Linked DNA regions of Oryzias latipes. Each later gene encodes a partner of the first gene's protein in a complex. Links are inferred from orthologs where the notes say so. Each region holds a gene or a part of one and is shown in the gene's direction. Other genes may lie near its edges. The genes, in order: map2k1 and ksr2.

Evidence for each region.
Region 2: the proteins of map2k1 (region 1) and ksr2 are in contact, whole or in part, in a crystal structure (PDB 7UMB), measured with the Homo sapiens proteins. The link is inferred for Oryzias latipes from reciprocal best matches to the Homo sapiens genes MAP2K1 and KSR2. Residues at the interface, in NP_002746.1 of Homo sapiens: Val81, Glu102, Met219, Ala220, Asn221, Ser222, Phe223, Val224, Gly225, Thr226, Arg227, Ser228, Met230, Arg234, Leu235, Gln236, Gly237, Met308, Ala309, Ile310, Phe311, Glu312, Leu314, Asp315, Val318, Asn319; in NP_775869.4 of Homo sapiens: Lys674, Arg818, Asp820, Lys821, Leu822, Arg823, Ile824, Gln825, Asn826, Ile837, Arg838, Gln839, Leu840, Ser841, Pro842, Gln877, Pro878, Ala879, Glu880, Ala881, Ile883, Trp884, Gln885, Gly887, Thr888, Met890.

What each region holds. Positions count from the first base shown.
Region 1 is NC_019864.2:16,494,862-16,498,853, reverse strand, and holds the start of map2k1 (dual specificity mitogen-activated protein kinase kinase 1), read left to right. Parts: upstream 1-1,192; coding exon 1,193-1,275; intron 1,276-3,992. UniProt on the Homo sapiens protein: Dual specificity protein kinase which acts as an essential component of the MAP kinase signal transduction pathway.
Region 2 is NC_019867.2:3,337,494-3,341,529, reverse strand, and holds part of ksr2 (kinase suppressor of Ras 2), read left to right. Parts: intron 1-482; coding exon 483-531; intron 532-1,047; coding exon 1,048-1,409; intron 1,410-4,036. UniProt on the Homo sapiens protein: Location-regulated scaffold connecting MEK to RAF. Has very low protein kinase activity and can phosphorylate MAP2K1 at several Ser and Thr residues with very low efficiency (in vitro).

The sequences.
Region 1 (3,992 bases):
GATTTTCACTAACATTTCTGTTATTTCCTCTGGCAGCTGTACCTTAAAGAAGGCATCTACAAGAGCAAAGGTTTGTTCTCTCTTGAAAATGACTTGCAGGTGTTTTATTTAGAGTAGAGTCCAACTGCTTGCCAGGATTTATCTAACGGATATTTAAAAAATGTGCAGGAAGTTGAAACTCCAAATCCTTACCTTGAGTGAATCATCAGTCGAATAACTTTTTCAATGGTCCACTTCTAGACAGCATCACGAATCCAAATGTTTTGATAAAAGAATAATAACTGAAAAACATTAAAATATTAAAGAAATGTGTTTTACATACATTTTTTTTAAAAACAACAACACTGAATTTATTGAATGAGCTACGTTGTTACCCACTTACTTTCAAGAAGGAACAAATGAGGGTCTTATAATTGTTTTTTTAATTAGCTGACAAAAGATGGCAAAAGACACAAAAATCCTGGAGTGATGGCACAAAACAACTCCCTGCCTACAGAGTGGTGTCAATGAAAAAAATGACAAAGAAATACTATTTTATTCTGTTGTACTTGTATTGTCGTTCTTCTTGCAAAAGTTTTGTTGTTGTTTAACTTAAATTGTTAACATTTTGTGTGAGGTGTGTTTTTTTACTTGCATTAACAGTAAAATGATAATGATCATTTTAACAATCGCTTCATCTTGCCTCTTAAAAAAAAGCTGTTCAGTCTTTCTCTGCTATCTAACTTGATGTTGACGGAATGGTCCATTGCCACACAGGGACAGGGGAGGACAAAACACTTTCACACGAGCAGTCTTATGCCATTTCAGTAATTTGGGCTTTTTATGACAGATTTAAACTATTGAGGAAATTATTTTAGACCATGTTTGTAAATGCCCCCCACACACACATGTGCAACAAGTCCGCCCCTGTACAATACACGAACTTCCCTCTGCTGCACAGGACTGCGATGCCAGCAGTCACCGGCAGAGGGCGCACTGCAATCAGGGCCTGACATGGTGCCCGGAAGACCAAGGTGTAAACATTTTTGTGACGTTCAGCTCACGTCCACCCGTTAAGCGAAGCATCAGCTGCGCTGGGTCTGCAGGTCGTGACAGCACTGCTCCGTTTTCGTTCCACTGGTTCGTCTGGCCGCCTTGTCCCTCCGTCCTCACGGCTTTCATTCCACAAAAAGGCCGATTCCTGAGAAAAAACATGCAGAAGAGAAGGAAGCCAGAACCGATCCAGCTGAACCCGATTCCCGACGGAAACACACTGAACGGAACCGGAGCCTCCGAGTGAGTGTTGGCGATCAGCTGTTTGTCACATACGAAATGTTACATAATTATGTTTACCACAGGAATTTAGAGCTTTTGGTGTGACAATAATCTGAGACACTGTCTGCACCGACTGTGGGATTATTTATTTATTTCACAGTTAAAACTGATTAGAAAGATAGGTTCAAAAAGTACTACTAACACAAGAACCTCTATTAGAACAGTACTAAGAAGACGAGCAGTGAATCCAAAGATACAATAGCGTCAAATATTTGTAAAAATGTTTCAAATAAACAAAAATTGCAGTGTTTTTTTTTTAAATTTAGGGGATCTGCTTAGAGAATCAGAGAAATCAAATCTCTGTCACAGATTAGTGTTAATACAGCTCTCCTCACTGTGACTGATCTAATCATCACTGTGAAATAAAGTGGCTCTCCAGCTCTCTTCAGCTGATTTCTGAGGGGAGGCACTGTTTAGTGATATGCTTGTGTGGGTTGGAGGTAAAGAGAAAAAAACCAACATGATAATGGAGAAATAAACCTGTTGTGACACCTTGTTTAGTGTAAATCTGTGGAAACAATTCTTTGTCATTCCACCAATAAGCTGGATCCCATTACATAACATGGTCTTCACTATGAAGCCTGTTTGTGCAGGCAGGATGCTTTCTGGTTTCTTTATTAGATGCAGCCTCTGAAAGTGATCTGTAGCCTTTGCAAATGAGCACATGAAGGAAATCTAAATCAAGGATTGGGGATATTTTTTTTTAAACTGCTGAGAGTATGTGGTAATACTGCTGTTTAATGTAATGTGAGGATGCTAACCTGCAAACAGGTGTTGCTTTGTTCTTGTTGTTTTTTAAGCAGGTTTTTTGGGGTACATTCTGACAGTTATCTGAAACAGTCTAAAAAGCACTTTCTATATTCATATAGAAAAAAAAAGGTCCATTAAATTACACAGATTTTACTTTCCTAGCTCCATGTGAAACTCAACACTGTATGGCTCCATAACAGACTATAATGTGAGTGCTTGATGGCAGTCATCTAGTTTGGTATGTATTCTCCAGATCAATATTAACTGTAGAAAGCTCTTCTTCACATTAGCTCCTCCAATCCTGGCCCTTAGTAACATGTGATCCAAAATGTTGTTGTTCACCTTTCGGCATATCCCTTCAGAGGTCGCCTCAGTGAATCAGCTTTTACCGATTTACTGAAGGGACATGTGTTTTTGGCAGTGATTTTTACGTCGGATGTCCTGTATTTTTGCTGACTGGGGACCGGCACAGGGAAGACCCAGACTTGGGGGGGGCCCCCCTTGGGTCTTGCTCAAGGACCAACACTGGATGAAGCCTGGTTTCCCATGCGCCAGTCCTACACTCAGCTAACTGAGCCATCCAGCTGCTTGACATGTGATCCAAAATGTATTTTTTAGGTTCCGACATGAACTTTTAACAACATTGACTGACGTATGTCAAAACAGGAAATCCACTATTTTGCAAAAAAACATTTTGTGTGATGAAAAGAATGAGTCAAGTAACCATAAAGGTTAGTTATATGTATATGTCTAGCATTTCTAAGCATTGGGTAGTTTTCTATTGTCAGCATAATTTGACAAAAGTACGTTTTACTGTGTAAGCCTCATTCTCCTGCCTCCCTATGTTGTTTTGAACACACCTGTGCGTACAAATGTATCTCCTTAACCCTGTGGGTAGAAAGGGAATCAAAGATATAACAAGACAAAACAATATTTCATTAACTAATCTGAAACTCTCCTCTTGCTGCATAGAAGCCTACTCTTTTTTTTTTTAACAGATCTGAGTTCCTTCATTTAAGTTTCTTAATATTCATCATTTTTGTCATAAACTGTTTTCAAATCCACTGTTTTTGCTGACATTTGTCTGCAAGGCTCGGTGCAGAGCTGCAGAACGGGTTTCTTTCGTACCTTTATCTCCCATTAGATGTCCTTGAATATGACGCGAATGGATACAAGAAAGGCCGGCTACGTGCGCACACCCCCTGCACCTCAAGTGGTGCTGCCCCTGTGGTTGTTGCACCCACATATATTGTGTTGAGTGTGTTTCATGCTAGTTCTTTTCTCATCTCCTCCACCTCCAGCTCTTGTTGACAAAACACCCACGCCGCCCACATCTACATGTAGCTCGTTTCCATGGATATGCAGCCCTACTGACAAAAATAAAAGCACTTAAACCCTGTCTTTGCTGCATGACGGAGCATTAGAGGAGAGCTCAATGCCCAGCTTTGAGTAGTTATCAGTGAGTTGTGGTTCGACATGGACGTAAAATTCATAGCTGTGATGAAGCTGAAGGAGACCTCTACAGCAGGAGATCAGTCAATGCTCCTATGATATGTAGAAATCATACTTCAGGGCTGCGCAAAACTGCTATAGTACCGAAATGATCGGAATTCGTTTTTAATACAATGTAATTTGATTTATTTCAATTATTTTAATTCCAATTCCCATTTCAAACCCAGCTGTGTTTGGTTATGAAAAACTATTTCCACAAAACATTTCATTTAAAGTAGGTGAATATTAAAATGTCATTAATCAAACTAGACATTCTTATGGTAAAAAGTAACAGAAAAGGTTTGAAGACTGAAGGGAAAAAAAAGAAATAAGCAAAAGGGGATGAATGGATTTTGCTCTGTTAAAGGAAAGCTCTATTAATTTAATAGATTTTTTGAAACCCAAGAACATGTTACATTGCAAAACCTCTTCTCAAG
Region 2 (4,036 bases), on another chromosome or scaffold:
TCCTGCAGGAAGATCCCTGAAAAGGTTCTGGGCATCAGGCAGCTTCTGCATCCAGCCCAGCAGCTGAGTTCACATTTCTCTTTGCAGCATATTGGTTGAATTTGTGCTCTGGTGCACAAAGAGCATCACTGAAGGCGACGCTTTCTGTCTAAGCTCACAGCTTCTGGGTTCCGTTGGAGTTATTAACAGCTTGTCCCACACAGGATGCAGTTAATCAGCGATCAGAGGCAGAGTGCACGCACTTTCTTCTCCTGAAGGGTCTTTCCACTTCCATGCGCACAAATCTTTTGTCATGCTAGTATTCTGTTAAATGTTTCTTGAAGACAATTTTAAACACAGCAGCTTTGTTTTTTAGTAGCTCCTAAGCAGTCAAAAAAGTTCACAAACTATTTCTGCTCTCCCTTAGAGTGCAGGATTTTTCTCTCTCCCTTTAAGTAAGAAGAACTTAACAATTTTCCTGCTTTTTTTTTTTTCTTTCTCAGCAATGAGGGCAACCATTTACTTCAGATCGAAGTTGAACCAACATCGGACGTAAGTTTTTTAAGCATGGACTGTGATCTTTCACACATCTGTTTGGTCCACATATGTACATCAGTATGGAAACAAATGCAGCCGCCAACATCTGCGCTTCAGTTGCTTGTCGTCCTTTAGTTCAGCATTATCAGTGACCTCTGAGGAGCCTCCAGGTAACTCTGGGGGACCTTTGATGCTCATTACTGCAGCCACTTTAACAAAATTTAAAGTATACCATGCACTGGAATGTTGGACGTACTTACATGCTATTGCAATTTATCAAATCTGTTGGCATTCACCCTTTTTACGCTCTTTTATTTGTTTTTTTTTACTCTTTGCTCAAAGTAGTTGGAGTAAATACTTGAGCCCGATGTAGCCTAAAAATGAAAGATTCTTGCTTTTTTGGTTGTAGGACTTGCAATGAAAGAGATTGACCAAATGTCTGCTGGAGGTTCAAATAACTTAATTTCCAAGATTTTAATGTAATTTTTCATTCTGGCACAAAAAAAACAGTTGTGTTTTGCCTTACCATAGAATGAGGACGGTAACGTTGAGGACTCCGGCGACGAATTCGAGGAGATGAACCTGTCTCTGCTGTCGGCTCGTAACTTCCCGCGCAAGGCCAGCCAGACCAGCATCTTCCTGCAGGAGTGGGACATCCCCTTCGAGCAGCTGGAGATCGGAGAGATGATCGGCAAAGGCCGCTTTGGAAGAGTTTACCACGGACGGTGGCACGGCGAGGTCGCCATCCGCCTGATCGACATCGAGCGGGACAACGAGGACCAACTTAAAGCATTCAAGCGCGAGGTCATGGCCTACCGCAACACGCGCCATGAGAACGTGGTGCTCTTCATGGGGGCGTGCATGAGCCCGCCACACCTGGCCATAATCACCAGGTAAGATTCAGGAGGTCAAGTACAGTATGACATCGTGATCTGCAAAACCTCATTTCAAGTTAGATTAGATTTTATTCACTTTTTTAGTCAAACATGTAATCAAACGAATCAAACAAGTAATCAAATCGAATCAAATATTAGTCAAATAGAATGTGCCTGACTCCTTGAAGATAAAAATGACTGAAATCAATATTTTGTCCTTAAAATTGCAGATTAGGTCCCATATTGACAATGAAAAAAAACAACCATTAAATTCAATCAGTATGAGATTTTTAAGAAAAGTATTGAATCATAAACTTATGTTGACGTTAGATGGATGCTAACCTTCATTCATTTTGATGGTTTCTGAAAGACAACAATATTTCTTTTTCTTTTATTCAGTTGCACATTTTCTGTTATCACAGGTTGAATGAGAGTCCATTAAAAGTTACAGGAAAACTGAATTTGTATTTTCTTTAGTTTAGTCTTTTTAATTAGTTTAGTTGTGAATAATGTTTAATCCTAAATTTCTTAAAATCCTGTCAGGAAGCCTGTTTTTAGTTTCTGTTCCGGCTCTTGTTGACATTCGGATTAGGTTACTAATTATCAGTTTCTTCTTGATTGTCCTTATCTCAATTATTCACTCAAGCCTGTGGTTTTCTGGTCAGCTTTTGTTTTTGGATCACATTTTTGGTTTTCCTTTACTTACATGTGCTGTTTGGTATGACACTCAACCATAAGGGGTGGAATTGCGGAGGTCAAACCACCAAATGGTTCCTGAGTGTGGCTGTCTGCTGCTCCCCCCTCCCCGCAGAGATCAGTCAAATGTGGAGAGCAAATTTCACACACCCAGTTGTTTGACAACCAATAGGACTTTGCCTTTCCTTGCACAAAAGTACTGATTTTCTAAAGACTTTCAAAAAAACAAACAAACTTGTATCTATGTGCTGTTTTACGATGTGAATTTTAAGCCTTAGCTACATGCACCTTTACGAGGGTTGATGCTGCGGCTTTTTGGGTTGTCCGGGTCTATGGAGGGTCTTAGAGAGGAGCGGCCGCATCTTAAGGGCAGCATGGAAGTGCGCTACCCTTATGGGACGTCATGAAAATGGAACACACCATTGTTATATGTGTGGTAAAGAGGAAGTTACACACACTTATGATGTACAGGTGATGTGGTCGTACAGTGCCCTGCACACTCTAGTCAGTAGTAAGGTGTGAGTACTGGCCCCTTACTGACTGCACGTGAATGCTGCACGCACAAGGTGTGCAGGTGAAGCATACATGCCCATCTTCACACAAATTACACTCTGATTGTCTCATTTCCTCATTTCTAACACTCAGGCTGTATGCAGGCAGCACCTATGGGCTCCTTGTACAGCCTCCAGGATTTAGAGGCTTAAAAGAAAAAAAATCAGTCTGACACGCCTGCAACTCACCTACTTCACTATTACTTACCTCTGAGTGTTGTTTACTTGTTCACCACGACCTGCTGCAGGAAGCCCGTAGAAGAAAGCTGAACGAACATCTTTGCTCTATGGGCTCACCAAGGTGTCTACGACCTTCATATTTTGTGCGGACCAAGTACAGGTTTGCCCATTTTTTTTATCCGCAGACCACCCGTATCCACCCGTCAGAGCAGTTGTGATTAAAGGTTTCGCACAGTTAATTAGAGATGGTAGAAGCAGTGATAAAAAACGACTACAGTCCACCTTCTGTCAGAACTGCAATCCTATCCATGCACAAAGACTGAACAGAGGAAAAACTAATAAAAACGAGATTGAACCAATGCTCTTTGCTGGCTGTGAGCCGGAAAAGGTCTTCAGCGTTGGTTCAGATCTGCTCTGCTGTGAGCGTCTGACAGAGAAACATGCAGGCGTTATGATTAGAACAGGCTGGCACTGTTGCTGAGTAGATGTACCACCCACACCTCACAGCAGCAGCAGCAGTGTTGCTTTCGCCTTGACAGTCTGGCAGCAGACAATGCAAACGTAGCTTACTGTAAGTGAACTGAAGAAATTCCCTGCCCGAGTTAACACGCGTAATTATTTCAGGGAATGGCTTTCACGTTTTGTCGAAACGGAAAAGCAACTTTGCTCATTGGGAACATCACAGGAAATCCTCTCCTTCAGTTAATTAGCTAATTATGTTGAAAAAAGTTGTTTAGACGTTTGCCTCATTTCCTCTGTTATCTACTTAGACTGAACAAAAGACAAGTAAAATCCTTGTCCTTTCTATTTTGTGTTTTTTTTTTTTTAACTATGAAAGCTTCCACAGTCTTTTTTTTAACCTCCAGAAAGCAAAGAAGTGTTTTTAAACATTGTTTCTTTTGTGGCAGCTGTTTAACTAGATTTACAGATGAAAAGTATAAAAGAACAAGCGAGCTGACGGTTGAAAATACCTGCAAATGTCAGAGCAACAGGTGGCCCAGTCATCCAATAATACTCTGCCTCAGACGTCACACTGACGGGAGAAAAAAAAAAAAAAAGTTTCTTCAAATGCAGCTTTTCTTGCTTTTTTTCCCGGCTTCACCGCAGCTCAACACATCAATAGAAGTGCATTGATTTTTATTTACATTTGTGGAAACATAAATATTGACTTTGATGTTTTTTTTCTTAATCGTCTTCGATTGTTTCCTCTTGCGACAG